Linked DNA regions of Diceros bicornis minor. The protein of the gene in region 2 purifies or fractionates together with the protein of the main gene of each other region. This does not show direct contact. Links are inferred from orthologs where the notes say so. Each region holds a gene or a part of one and is shown on either strand. Other genes may lie near its edges.

Region 1 (7,173 bases), on a different chromosome or scaffold from region 2:
TCAGGCCATGCTGTGGCAGTGTCCCATATAAAGTGAAGGAAGATGGGCGTGGATGTTAGCTCAGGGCCAGTCTTCCTCAGCAAAAAGAGGAGGATTGGCAGATGTTAGCTCAGGGCTGATCATCCTCACACACACACACAAAAAATTTGGAAGTTCTATATACTTCACAGAATTGCTCTAAGGATAAAATGAAATGTGAAGTATAAACATACCTTTAAAATGTGATGAATAAGACATTATCAGCATTATTCAAACTTTAGCCTCATTTACATGTAAAAGCAGAGTAATCTGGATGGGTTCATCTTTTGACCTTGAAGCATACAAGACCAGATCAACAACCTAGAGCCAACTAGAAATGAAAAGGATTCCTTGGGCCTTGCCTAATCCATATCTTCCTACCTCCAAAGCTTGGCCAAATCAAATCTAGCTTGAGAATCAGGAAAATTGATTTCTATTAATGAATTCTTCTGAATATTCAACCTCGCCAGAGAAAGAAACAATGGACTAAGGAGATTCTTAGAAAAGTGAAATATTCAGAATTTTTAACAAAAGACTCTCACTGGACACTTCCACATTAGAATACAAAAGAAAACAGAATAATCTAAACAACATGATTAGGACTCATAAACAAGATTGAAATTTTTAAAAATTAGGTGACAAACTAATAAAAATTTTAATAATCTCATCCCCAAAGGAAAAAAAAAATCAGTGCCAGCTGCTTACACTTCCACATCCCTCTCCAATTCCCTATAAAATGGCCTATAGTAAGCACAATGAAACTCATATGGTGCCCGGCAAACTGAGCACCAAATAAATATCTGTTGAATGAATGACTGATTCCCTTATGTCTCACATCCTTTACATTATTTTAGTGTACATATATGGATATCAGCATGTTTATTTTCTTTTAGCCTACTGAAAATTGAAATGCAATGGTGGCTAAAAAGACAAATTCTGCAAACCCTCACTTTGTTCCATTAGCTTCTACTTTGTCATAAGGTACTCTCTCCTGAATATGGGCACAAACCCTCTCAGACCCAACCATAAGCTGCTCAAATTATTTATAAACAACAATCTAATTACAATTACAACCCAGTTTCAGTAAAAAAATGAATTAATTTTGAATCCAAAATAATTTAAGACAAAAACAAAAATATGAATAAAGACATTTTTACTGCAAGAACTATAAACTCTTGTCTAATCAATAACTTTCCTATAGCTCCAACTTCCAGCCCTATCATATTTAAGGACACCAACTCAGATCATCTTCAACCCTGAAGTGAATCAACTTCCCCTATAATGACAGTGCAAGCCAACTTCCTACATCACTAATATTCTAAGACTATCAACAATTTCCTCCAGAGGAAAAGCACAAAACCCTACCAGTTCTCACTCAGCTAAAAGCAATTCATTTCTCATAAGCCTACCACTTGGATTGGATTTTGGATACAAAACACAATGAAAATCCCAAAACACTCTCAGCAAGACAATCAACTGCATCTTTCACTTAATATGGATAACCCCTCTATGCCAAACATCATAACTGAATACTAGTGTGCATCATCCAAGATGCCAACTATGATGACAAAATGTCTAACACCTATTTTCTCAAATCAGAGGTTCCAGTATACTCCAATGCGTTACACAAACGTAGTAGTTACATCTGACACATGGATGATATTTAACAAACGTGGTTCCCTCTTTCAAGACATTCACTTGAGAAGTGGAAATTTTGTGAACAGATTTTCTTGACTACAGTAGCCTCAACAGCAGATTTAAAAGTGGCCCACCCTTTGAAGTGGGAGGAGATATTTATATACAAACACGATGGATACTTACATTAAATACTACTACTCCTTAGAACATTCATACCCGTTTAGAGCCCCAGCTACCATACGTTAAATAAGCAAATTCTGACCAACAACTCCATCCCTCAGCATCCCAGGAAGCTTAATCCTCTCCCTTTACAAGTTTAATTCACTTCAACAATCCGGACTGACAGGTGCCTAATTTCCAGACAGCCAGGAAATTCAAGGCCCAATCTCCTTGCCCAACTTTCTTCTTGTACGCACATTTATTTGACCTTCCATCTCGCCTCCCTTATTTATTATTTCCTAAAGTCCCTTCACTCCCTCCTCACTAGCACTTACCTCTTTGGTACTCCGACCCTGCCTCGGGACTCTAACATGCCCCCATCCCACTCCACCAACCACCCGTCTGAATGTCTCTGCAAACGCTCGAATCCCTCTGCAGACGCCGCCAAGGCACCCAACAGACCCCCCTCACGCCGGACCCCACCAGCCCAACCAGCAGAAACTCAGAATTTAGCAAGAGAGAGGGCGGGGCCTCCAACCCACCAGACGAAGTCGTTGCTTTTGTCCTCGTAGGAGTTGATGAGCCCGTTGCAGAGGGGGGCGAGCAGAGGTCGCTTCCTGCTGCCGCTGCCCAGGCTGGAGCTGCTCCCTCCGACTCCGGCGCTGGGCCTGGCCGCGCAGCTGAGCCGGGACAGGCCGGCGGACACCGCCCCGCCGCCGCTCCCGCCGCCGCTGCCCGACACGGCGGCCGCCACCAACACAGGCCGCGCCGGGCCCCCGAGGCCGCCGGAGCCCGCGGCCTGGGCAGCCCCGCCGGACCCCAGCGCCGCCGCCGAAGCCGCCACGGACGGGGGCGACGGCGAAGAGGATAAGGACGAGGAGGCGGAAGTCACTGAGGAGGCCGCCGAAGAGCCAGGGCTGGTCCCGGCGGAGCCCGACCCGGCCTGGCGGCTCCCGGACATCGTGACTCCCTCCCCTCCGGCCGGGCGCTCGGAGGAGAGGGACCGCGACCGCGACCCGCCGCCGCCTCCCCTCCCACAGCCTCAGTGCATCCTGAGGACGCGCGCCGCGCCGGGAGGTGGGGCTGAGGAACAATAAAGTTGATTTTTTTAAGGCAACCACACAACAGCGTCCGACGGGAGGGGGCGGAGGAAACTAATAAAGCGGAGTAGAAACCACTACCGCTCTCGAGGCCCCGCGGCCGCTGCCGCAGCCAACCCGGGCGCGCCGTGGGCCGGCCGCGCGCGCGCGCGCGCGAGCGGCGGAAGGGGCGGGAGCGGCGGGGGATACAACTTTAGACGCGGCCCGGGCGGCGCTCGGACGCGAACGGCGCGCCCTCAGCGGCCGCGGCGGCCTGGCAACGACAGCCGCCCTCGTCGAGACCTGTTTTCGTTCGTGACGTACCGGAGGGCAGGCCGTCGTAATGGGTGAAAGGGCTGCGGAGGATGGAATGAATGGCAGAGGTGGCGGAGTGGTTTGGGGGAGGGAGCGGAGACGGGGAGCGCTCAAAAAGCGACTGCGCACGCGCGCCCTGGGCGCCTACCCTCGCGGGTTACCCAGTGTCCCCCTCCAGGCGGAGAGGAGCGGCGCCGGCGCGGAGTCGTCGTACTACGCATGCGTGAGGGCGAGCCGCATTCCGGAACGTGAGGAGGGAGCGGTCGGTGTCGACACAGATGGGCAGCGTGTCCCAGTGGAGACGGCAGGACAGGTGCTTCCGAATCCGGAATTGAAGGCTCTGTAAACTGGGACACTCGGAAAGAACCCAGGAACTCCCAGAAGTTGAAAAGAGCGCTGGGCTGAGAGTCAAGGACTCAGGCTCTGGTGTTTTTAAGACATTCCATGTTATTGTGAGGAGTAAATTAAGATGAAGTCAGTGTTGTTCTTTGTTAATTGCAGACATTGTACCAAATTAAGTATAACAATAATGGGAAAACAAGTTATGCTTAATCAGAACACAGCTCCGTCAGAACCTCGGTTTAATTTGGATCTGATATAATACTACCACAAAACAAGGAAACTTGGCAGTAAATACCACCAGAAAATGTGCAATTTCTGGTAGGCTTTTCGGAATATTGAAAGTTGATTACAGATTTTCATTTACCATTTTGAGATTCTGGGGGATGTAAATTAGAAACAACTGAATTGGGTGATTTTCAGTATCCTTTCCAACTCTATCATTTCCATGATTCTTAGAGGGAGAGATGCCAGATTTAATTCTGTCCCGGGTATTGAAGACTACAGGGGCAATTAGGGCCTTTCCCTAGGAAGGTCCATCCATGCTGAGGGGCCAGGGCTGGGGAAGGACCTAGATGAAGACCCAGCAACAAGACCTAGCCATTCACCTGAGCAGTGAACTGTCATGGCTGCCATCATCCTCAACTCTGCCGTAACTGCTCACCCTCATATTTCCAGCTCAGGTTTCTGCTCAAAATAATGATATAGAAATGGGCTTATCAGATTTCCAAGAACCACCCTCTTTGTATAAATATTACATTATCCAACTCCTTGTTTAAATTCACTTTCAAGGCCATACTGAAATGTGAAGCCCTACTGAGTCCTTGGCAGAGATAGTTGCACTCTCATTTGTGCTCCTAGGATATTTTGTTTGCACTTAAAACATTGTGTTTTAGTGATGTATATATGATTCTCCTCCACTAGCCTGTCAGCTTCAGCTTTGTATTCCCAGCATGTAACACAATACCTGACCTATGATAGGTCCTTATTGAATATTTCTTGACTAATAACTGAATAAAGCAGTTGATCTCATTTTTATTTTAATTATTTGCTTAATGTCTGTCTTTCCAACTAAACTGTAAGCTCCGTGAAAGAAAGAACAATATTAGTTCTCAGTGGGCATTCAATAATTTTTTGATGAAAAAATGCGTAAATAAATGAATATTTATTGAACATTTGCTACACGTAGGCCTGGACTAGGCAAGGAAGAGATGAAGAAGTATAAAAAACGTTGCTCTTACTTCAAGAAGCTTATGAAATAATTGAAGAATTAGAAAAGTACATAAAAAGATAAGTAATGTTAGAGCACATGCTAAATGCTCAATGAGAGCAGAGACTCACCATAGGAACTGAAGCAAGAACAAGTGCTAAGGGCCAGCCATGTTGGTGGGGGAAAAAGGAAGGCCTTAACTGAAAAGTATAGCTTGGTCAAACAGAAAGTGTAATTAAAGTCATGAGCCCAGAAAATAAGTAAGAAAAAATGCTTACATGAGGTTCAGATTTCTATAATTGATAAGGTAAAAGAGTTTATTCAGTAAAAACTCATTTGGGGGCCAGATTGTAAAGCGCCTTGAATCCACTTTAGAAAATAGCCTATAAGCAATTGGAAACAATGAAGGCATTATAAGGAGGTAAAATATATTCAAAGTGTTGTTTTGAAGATTAAGTTTTCAGCAGATTAATCTTTCAGAAGAGGTGGGAGATTAGAAGCAAAGAGACTAATTAGGAAAAAATTATAGCAGTCCAAGCATAAGTGATGAGATTCTAGATTAGGGTGCTGACAAGGAAAGTAAGGGAGTATTCTGAGAAAAATGCAAAAGAATCTATAGGATTAAGTTTTGTTGGTGTTACTGTCAAGTGGATTCCAACTCCTAGTGACCCTGTGCCTAGCAGAGCAGAACCCTGCCTGGTCTTTTTGCGCCATCCTCTCACTTTCCAGTGCTATATCAGACAACGCTCCACTGCTATTCACAGAGTTTTCATAGCCAATTTTTTCGGAAGTGGATGGCCACGTCCTCCTTACTATTCTGTCTAGTCTGGAAACTCCACTGAAACCTGTCCACCATGGGTGACCGTGCTGGTATTTGAAATAGGAGGATTAAACTACTCTTGGTAAAAGAATCTTTACAATCCTTGAGGGCATGACCCATATCTGTCTTGTTCATCACTGTCTTTCCACATGCTTAGCAGAAAGGCTAATAAGTTAAGTAAAAATGATGAACACAAAGAAGAATGACTGCAAAGATACCTCCAGGAATAATAGCGTGATGACAGAATTGGAGATGGCCAGCAGATGTTTAGTTTTGGATGTGTCGAGCGAGTGTGGGGTGAAAATACATTCAAGTAAGTATATCCCGGCGGTGATTGAAAATTCAGGCTATGGCACAGGAGAAGGTTCAACACATGAGAGAAATAAAACTGCAGGCTCCTGAGCTCTTCCTTCAGAGATTCTGACTCTATAGGCCTGGGGTAGGGCCTATGAATATGCATTCTTACCAGCACCCAGGCAAATCTGATGCAGGTGACGAACCCTTGAGAAACCCTGTGATTGATATTGTAGGGCGTGTAAGAGAAATGTGTAAAATAGTCTCTTCCTTCCAGGTAGCTTATTCAGGAGACAGAAAGTGATAGGACCCCAGCTAAGTCTCCTAATCAAAAATCAGTGCCTGGTATTACCTCTTTGGAACCTGTCTTCAGTGAAATCTAAACTCACAAAAGGAAGCTAAGGGTATGTGATAATGATGGAATTTCCCTTTTATACCAGATAAATGTGTAAAGACTACTCTGAAAGTACATAATTTTTATCTCTTTTTTTTTTTCCCCCAGAAACAAAGGACTTGATTATTCATAGCAATAGCAGTGGGTAGAGTATCAGCATTTTCATGGGCCAGTTCACTGAGCCCCAATTCCCACAGGGCCATGTGGACCAGAGGCATAGATTGCCCTAGAGGAGAGGAACCCTGAGCTTAGAAACACATAGATACAGAGAAGGGATTGGTGGTAACCAGAGTGGTGGGGGTGGGGCAAAAGGGGTAAAGGGGCACTTGTGAACGATGATAGATGACAACTAGACTTATTAGTTTCTACTGGCAAGATTTTCTGGGAAAGCAGAAGAGAAAAGAGGAAGCATGGCAAAATACGCACAAAGGAAGTCAGACAACTCAGGAGAAGTAGCAAATAGAAGAGAAGAAAACATTAATGAAAATGAAAGTAAATGTAAAATAAAAACTAAGCCCTAATAATTAAAAGAATTCATCATGTTGTTAAATATATTAATCCTGTGAATGACAAAAATGACAAGAAAAAATCCAAAGTCCTACAAAACACTGCTACTGAAGTAAAATCTAATGGAGTTAAGATAGAATGGAATTAGCAAGAGGATTGGATTTCCCAGACATATTTCTAAGTTGCCTTGTCCAAATATAATATTTTAGGGAAATAAGGCTGCTGGCTTTCATCTCCAACTAGCCTTGCACTTTGGTAACCCATCTCCCAAAAAGATCCTGCCAAAAAAGCTTTATCTGCCTGACTCACCTGAAAGGTTTGCTACCTGTTAGCCCTGTTTGCTGTCTAACCAAATCTCTGAGTGAATAATAGCTTCCTGTTCAATTTTCTTTGAATTTAA
Region 2 (6,954 bases):
GGGGAAGCGTGTGCAACGATTACTGACAAAACAGAATCACCAAAGACCAACCTTTGAGATTAAAACTATAACTGGAACAGGAAATATTTCTCATGCTTCAAGTTCCTGCCGTACACAAGAACAGAGGTTTTCACAAAGAATTATCTGCTCCTCCTCACCCCAAGTCACTGGAACTCATGGCCATGTGTGAGGATCAAGCTTTATGAAGCGAGAGAGGGGAGGAAAGTACTGGGTTGAGTAAATAGCAACAAACTTATCAGGAATATTGGACCCTATAAACAAAGAGATCAGGAAAAAATCATATCCACTTGCCCAAGGAAAAACCAGTGAATTCTCTTCCACTGATTGGTCCATTGAGACGCCACAAAGGAGGAAGGCCCATCGCTAACTGCCCAGAAAGTCGCCCCGTGAAGGAAGCTGAGAGAAATAAAGTGATTACGGGTTTTATCTCATATGTAATAAAGTTACCTTGAGCCCAGGATCGGGTGGGGTCACAGCAAAGACTTGTGAAGTAACAAAAGCCTCTCAAGTCGGTGCTTAGGACCGCAGACCAGCTTTGCTCAAAGTTGGAGAGATGATGGAAAAAACCACCCCCTCCGCCAGGAGTGGACAGGCTGAGAAACTTGTCTAAAGTGGTGTGACTTTGCCAATCCCTCCGGTTTGGAAGCTGCCTGGCTGAACGGGCAGGCATATATGCGAGAGCCCCGTGCACTGGTTATTACTAATCGCAAAATCCTCATGTGTTACAGCAGGCTAGGAATGAGCCAACAGCTGCTTTCTGCTTCGGTAAAGAGGCCCCATTACACTCTGCTGGACTCGAGTTCTCGTCCTTCTTCCTAGCACTGGTTTCCTGTCTGATTTTCTTCCAAAACAGGGAATTGCCTCCGCTCACATCCTGGGCTCAAAGCCCTAGTGACACAGATTATTCAATCGGGGCACTGATGTCCGGTCTGACTTCCCATCCAGGCCCCCGGGTCTGAGCAAAGCCAGGCCGCAAGACTGTAATATTTCAATGATGACTGCCACAGAAACGGCAATGAAAGGAACAGACAAGAAATCAAACGATCCCTTCCTGATTCCGGGAGGAAGGGAGGGACATTTGGGGGTTGTTGAATTGGAGAGTGAGGGAATGGGTATAAATGACTCCAACCCTTTGCCTAATGGTATTTGGATTCAATACAAACCACCAATGGGGCTGGAAAGCAAACAAAACCAAACACTTTTAGGGACAAGATTTGAAACTCATCCCGTTGGTGCTCATTACGGGGTGCACTGACTGCACCCTCAATGCACACACGAGGCTCTCTAGAGTGCGTGCTTACGGGGACACCAGAGGAAGTAGAGGAAAGACACAGAGAAGCCATTTAGGGGACTCACCAGGTATGGGGAATTACTTTGGAACAAGGTATCCCTCTTCAAATCCCAAAGAGAGCTGTGTTTCCATTTTATGCTCCAGCAGAGTCCACACCTCCCTGGAAGCCCACCCCAGCCCTTCCTGGCTGGCTGGTTTCTAGAGGCCAAGGCCACGGCCTTACCAGAGCAATTCGTGCTGCAGCCAACTTGGCTGGACACTCAGCAGATCCTGACTGAGGAGGGCTTCAGATTGTAGTGGCCCTGTGTGTTAAGCCAGCTCCCTCACAGACCTGGGGGGGACCTGCTGCAGAGGGCAGACACCCCACCAGCACCACCACCCCACCAGCACCACCACCCCACCAGCACTTTTCTGGAATTTATAGACACACAGATCGCATGCACAACCCCTCCAGTGCAAACCAGTTCGGCTGCTTTAGAAACAAGTTGTTTTTCTGCTTCCAGAACCGCCCAGGAGGTCCCTTTCTCCCACTTCTCTCTGCAGGCGTCCTTGCTTCAGGTACCCTGTACACTGAAGGCGCCCCTTCTGGTGTTAGTGCAGGCTCCTGGTCCGACCCTCACAGGAGATGTACGGGCGCAGGGCACACAGGCGCCGCCCGAGCCAATCAAGGCTGACCTCCTCCTTCCTGACCTTCGCACCTGATTCCCAGAGCGGCAACCCTCGCCCTCACTCCGGATTACTTGAAGGAGCCCAACCATGTTTCCGAGTCCTCAGCCTCTTTCAGAAATTAACTAAGACTGACGGAGAATGGGGGAAGAGAAGGAGAGAGCTTTCCCACAGGAATAGGGTCCCTGGATGTCGGGAAGAGCCAGTGGATGCAAAGATTTTTTTGCCTACCAGGGAGAGAGAGGGGAAGGGGGGCGGGATTCCTGGGAGAGAAGGTAACAGGCTCCTGGGAAGGTGGCCTGTAATTCCTGGAGCTTGTCTGGATGAGATGTAGTGTGAAGGAAAGGGTTTGTTGGCTCTTCGAGCCCACTCCCCGCTCCAGTTTAAAAAAAAAAAAAAAAAGTGGTGGCGTGGGGGTAAGAGGGGTAGGCAGGACAAGACGAAAATCCAGACTTTACAACAGTGGCACGTAGGAATTTTCTCGCCAAATCAAGAAAGGGAAAAGAAAGCAAAAGAGGCAGTGGCGGCGAGAGGAGGGCGGGGGTCCGCCAGCGCCGCCAGGTGCATTCGGGCCCCGAACCTACCTGCTGGCCGCCGCCGCCGCTGGAGTAGGACTCGGCGTGCGCAGGAGAACCGCTGCTGCCACGGGAAGAGGTGTCAAAGTTCCCGGGATAATCCTGGTACATGATCCGCGGTGGGGGCCCGAGAGGAAACAGGGTGTTTTTCTTCCCCCGCCCTCGCCGCGGCCGCGCACCGGCTGCTGCGCGCTCGCTCCCTGCCGGCCGCGCCTCGGGCTCTAGTCTTCGCTCCCGGGCTCTTTCCCCTCGGCGGCGACCGCGGACGGACCGGGAGGCGACGACACCCCGGGAACAGTGCCGCCCGAGTGCCTCGCACTGCACTTCTTTCCTGCTCTACGAGCACCGCGGGACCAGTTGTCCACCCAGTCCCTCCCTCTAAAAAGTCGGCGCGTCCCTCAGTCCCTCCCCTGCGCGCGCCCTCCCGCCCCCGCGCGCAGCCGGAGCCCAGCCGGGACCTCCGGCCCAAGCAAAAGCTGGAAATTAAAAAAAGAATAGGACCCTGGAAATTAAAAAAAGAATAGGACCCTGGCAATTTTCCCTGCCAGATCTGGGGGCCCTCGATTTCAGTCAGGACAAAAAAGGCGAAAAGAAAGGCTGCCCGCTTGGAGAAACTTCTATTTCCTCCTTTTAGAAAGGGAGCTGAGAATAAACTTCCTGTGGCCGACTCGCCGCCGGAGTTTCGGAGCGGCTCGGACACTTGTCTAAGAGAAGAGGGCAGCCTGCGCCCGTCCCGCGGCCCGTGGGGTTCAAGCTGAGCCGGCGCTGAGAGGGACGCGGCCCCGCTCCCCGTGCCGTGGCTCCGGCGCCCGGACCTGCACCCCTTCCCCGGCGCCCGCTCCCGGACGGGCCAGTCTCGCCCGTCCGCGCCTCTCTCCCCCTCTCTCTGTCCCCGCCGAGCGCCGCTCGCTTGCTCGCTGGTTCGCTCGGAGCCCCTGCGCTCAGCCCGAGATGAGTCACTACAATGGCACGAGTTCAACTCCACACTCTTTATTCTCCAGCCCCCACCATGTGGATTCACTCACGTCAACCCCAAGACTCCACCTTGCAGGGAGGAGCGCGCGGGGAGGCGGGGGGAGGAGGAGGAGGAGAAAGAGGCGCGGGAGGAGGCGGGCATAGAGCTCCTCTCCCTGCCCCGGCTCCTGGCCGCGCTGACGCCAGCCGCACACTCCGCGCGAGGAAGGAAGGCGGTGGCGGGGGTGGGAGCCGACCGCTGGCGCGGTTTGGGGGAGCCAAGGCAGCCCTGGCCCTTCCACACCCCCGCCCACCCCCCGGGCCCAGCGCCCTTGGTCTGTTCCATTGGCGCACGTTGCCAAAGATGGTCATTTGCGTTAGAGGATGCGAGTGCGGGTTCCCTTGCTTTCGGGTGACGTGGAGGGAGAGGGATTCCCTCGCCCGCTCCCGAGCGCGCCGCGGCCTCCCCAACCCCCCTGCACCGCCCTGGGAAGGGGCGCGGGGCGGGGCCCCCGAGAGCGGCCGCGCGGGCCTCGGCGCCGGGTTTTAGAAAATAATCACAGTCTTGAAGAACGAGACAGGCGGTTCAGTGCGGCGCCACCGCCAGGCCGGGAGCCGGGCGCGCAGAGCCGCTCGCAGGGAGGGCGCGGCCGCGCGCGGTCGTCGGCGCCCTGCGCGGCGCCGGCCGGTGCAGCGGCCGCCCCGGGCGCGGAGAGTTCCCGCGCCGCCCTGCGGCCGGGTCCTGGCGGGGCGCGACGCCGCTGGGCGAGGCGGGCCTGCCTGTTTTCCCTTCGGTGGCTGGCTGCCCACACTTCCCCCCCTGTTTTTTTGGCCCTACAATTAATTTGTTAGGAGTAGACTTGAAGACGAAATTAACCAGTCAAGACATTCCGGCCGCCCTCTATGCCGGGCGTTTAGGTCGCATCTAATAAGAGTAATCGGACATCATAGGCAAACTCCAGACTGTTATGTATTTTAGAAAGGGCGGGGGGTGAGGCCAGGGAGAGGGTGTGCCCCAATGTTGTTTTCAGCTGTTTTGGAGCGAAGTTCAGGGAGCAGGTAGTCCGGGCTCCTGGGTCTTCCCGCCTCGCTGGGCGGGGCGGGGCGAGGTGCGGGGTAAAGAGCACAGGCCTTGGAGTACGAACGCCAGGTTGTGCTATTCGAGCTGTGAGACTTTGGGCGAGTCCCTTAACCTCTCTGGGCCTCAGTTTCTTCCTATAAAATGAAGGGGTTCGGACAGATGACGCTCTAAGGCCCTTATCAGTTCTGGAACTTCAATCTTTCTGCAGAGATGATCCGGAGGAACACTGTACCAGGAGTCAAAGCTTGGGTTCTGGTCCAGGCTCTGCCTTAGCCTCGGTTTACCCAACTCTAAAGTAGGGTCATCTGCACCCCCACAAGGTCCTTGTGAGGACACAACGGCAAGATGAGTGAAGACTGTGAAGAGCTATGCGCTGTAACACATCACAGTTCCAGTCCTCAGTTTCCTTATCTGTAAAGTGGGGGTGTTGCTAGGCAAGAAAAATAGAGCCGGGAACTCAAAGCTTTCCCTGGGCTCTATATAAAGCGCTGGCGTTTCCGGGACGGCTGGCGGCATCTGGCCGCCCCAATGGCCCTAAAATACGGTAATCCCAAACAATACTCGGGGTCATTGTTTACAGCTATAAAACACTTTCTGTCCTGAGCTCCATCCCCAAGGACGCACGCGGCGAGGCGAGGCTGGCCAGACTGCTCGAACCTCCGCCGCCGCCCTCCGGGCAGTCTCCAACTCTGCAGACCCAGGAGAGGGGTGCGGGGCGGGCGGATGCGCACACCCGCCGCGGTGCTTGGGTTCTTTTTTTTTTCATCCCTGCGTCCTGACTGCCTGCGTGTTTACGCGCCTCTCCCAGCAGGACTGAGTAAATGCAGTCCTTTGACGCAAAACCGATCAGCCCTTTCCCCAGCGGCAGCGGCAAAACCCAGAAAACTGGGGGTGGGGACTGTGTGGGGGGGGGGAGCGCAGGAGAAGAAATCGTGACACTTTCTCACTCGCCTCTCCGTCTCCTCCTGCGCCACCCAGGCCCCCGCCGACTTAGCCAGGTCTCGCGGGTGGTGGGGGGGGATGCAAAGGTTGGCATGGCCGGGGCGTCCAGGGCCCTCCTGGGAGCAGCCGCTTGTCGAAGCGGCGCGAACAGACGCGCTTTTGGTTTTCCTTTGAGCAGCAGCGGCTGCCTGACCCTCCCCCACCCCGCCTCGAAAATCTGGGTGCTTCTGGGTCTCTCCCACACAGTCCTTCCAGTAATGCGGGGGGGAAAGGAGGAGGGGGAAAGGGAGCCGGAGCTTCCTCCGCGGCCTCCGCCGTCCCGGGCGCGCCCAGACCCGGGCGGGCGGCGCCGGGAGCGCGCGGGAGGGCGAGCGCACCCTCTCTCTCTCGTCAGCCCCCGCCCAGCCTGCTCCCCGGCCCTTTCCTTTCTTGTGGGTTCCCGTAAAGCCCGGCAGCCCCGAGACGTCTGCAGAGCATCACGGAATCCGTGCTGATGCAAGTCGATAGCCTCCCCTTGGTGCGCCCCGGCCTGCCTTGGAGCGCTTTGATCCTGGCCTTCCCCTGCTCCAGAATTTGTGCTGGCTCCCTCTGTCCGGCTGGATGCCTGCCTTTTCGCAGTCTGTCCTCACCTTTCAGTCCACGAAGCGCCAGACACACAGAGCTGCGCCCTGGTGCTTCGGGGACTGAGCGGCTGGTCCAACTGGTGCCTTGGCCGAACTGTGGCTGCCAGACCGAGAGTTCAGCCTCCAAGCCCGGTTCACTGCCGCCTCCGTGGGGAATCATTCCAGTATCACCCAGTTAGAAAGGATCCTCTGGCTCCCCAGACTAACATCTAAGAATAGAGCCAACTTTTATTGAGCGCTTACCGAGAGTCAGGCACCACGCTGAATCCTTTGCAGGGATTGTCTCATGCAATCCTCCCAACAAATGTTTGAGGTGAGTATTATTCCCTGGTTGCAGATGAAGAAAGTGAGATTAAGGAACTTGTCCAGGAGAACTGATTAGTGGGTTAGTGACCCAGTTGGAAGTGCAGCTGGGCCTGTATGACACCAGGCTGTTCCTCTTACCCGGGACACTGCATGACTGGCCTCCTACTGGAAATGTCTTTGTTTCTCTCTTATTGGTCTCCAGAAAGCATGGACTTTATCTGGTGCATGGCTTTGTCCTATATTTAGAGGTGCTCCTTAATTCTCTGCTGAACTACTCAGCTAAAGAAAGGTCAAGTCAAGTGAGGGAAGAGGAGGAGGTGAGCTGGAGTGGGAAGAAAAGGGTATCTTGGGCTGTCTTCTCATTGTCTCTCTGGGTCTCTGGGACCTCCCTGCCCTGCATTTGCCAATTTCCTCCTGTGTCCCTCCAGTCCAATGTTTGGGCCCTGACTTAAATCCCAGAACGACCGCCCACTCTGGGCTGCACTGGCCCCCCCA

Evidence for each region. The genes of interacting proteins can lie anywhere in the genome.
Region 1: the proteins of FOSL2 (region 2) and COP1 purify together in Homo sapiens (affinity purification with mass spectrometry; 3 studies listed by BioGRID and IntAct, counting the BioPlex papers as one, with this or other methods). This does not show direct contact. The link is inferred for Diceros bicornis minor from reciprocal best matches to the Homo sapiens genes FOSL2 and COP1.

The regions. Positions count from the first base shown.
Region 1 is NC_080743.1:90,436,109-90,443,281, reverse strand, and holds the start of COP1 (E3 ubiquitin-protein ligase COP1), read right to left. Parts: upstream 3,001-7,173; 5' UTR 2,777-3,000; coding exon 2,358-2,776; intron 1-2,357. UniProt on the Homo sapiens protein: E3 ubiquitin-protein ligase that mediates ubiquitination and subsequent proteasomal degradation of target proteins.
Region 2 is NC_080751.1:54,562,203-54,569,156, forward strand, and holds the start of FOSL2 (fos-related antigen 2), read right to left. Parts: upstream 3,059-6,954; 5' UTR 2,665-3,058; coding exon 2,563-2,664; intron 567-2,562; exon of another isoform or gene 469-566; intron 1-468.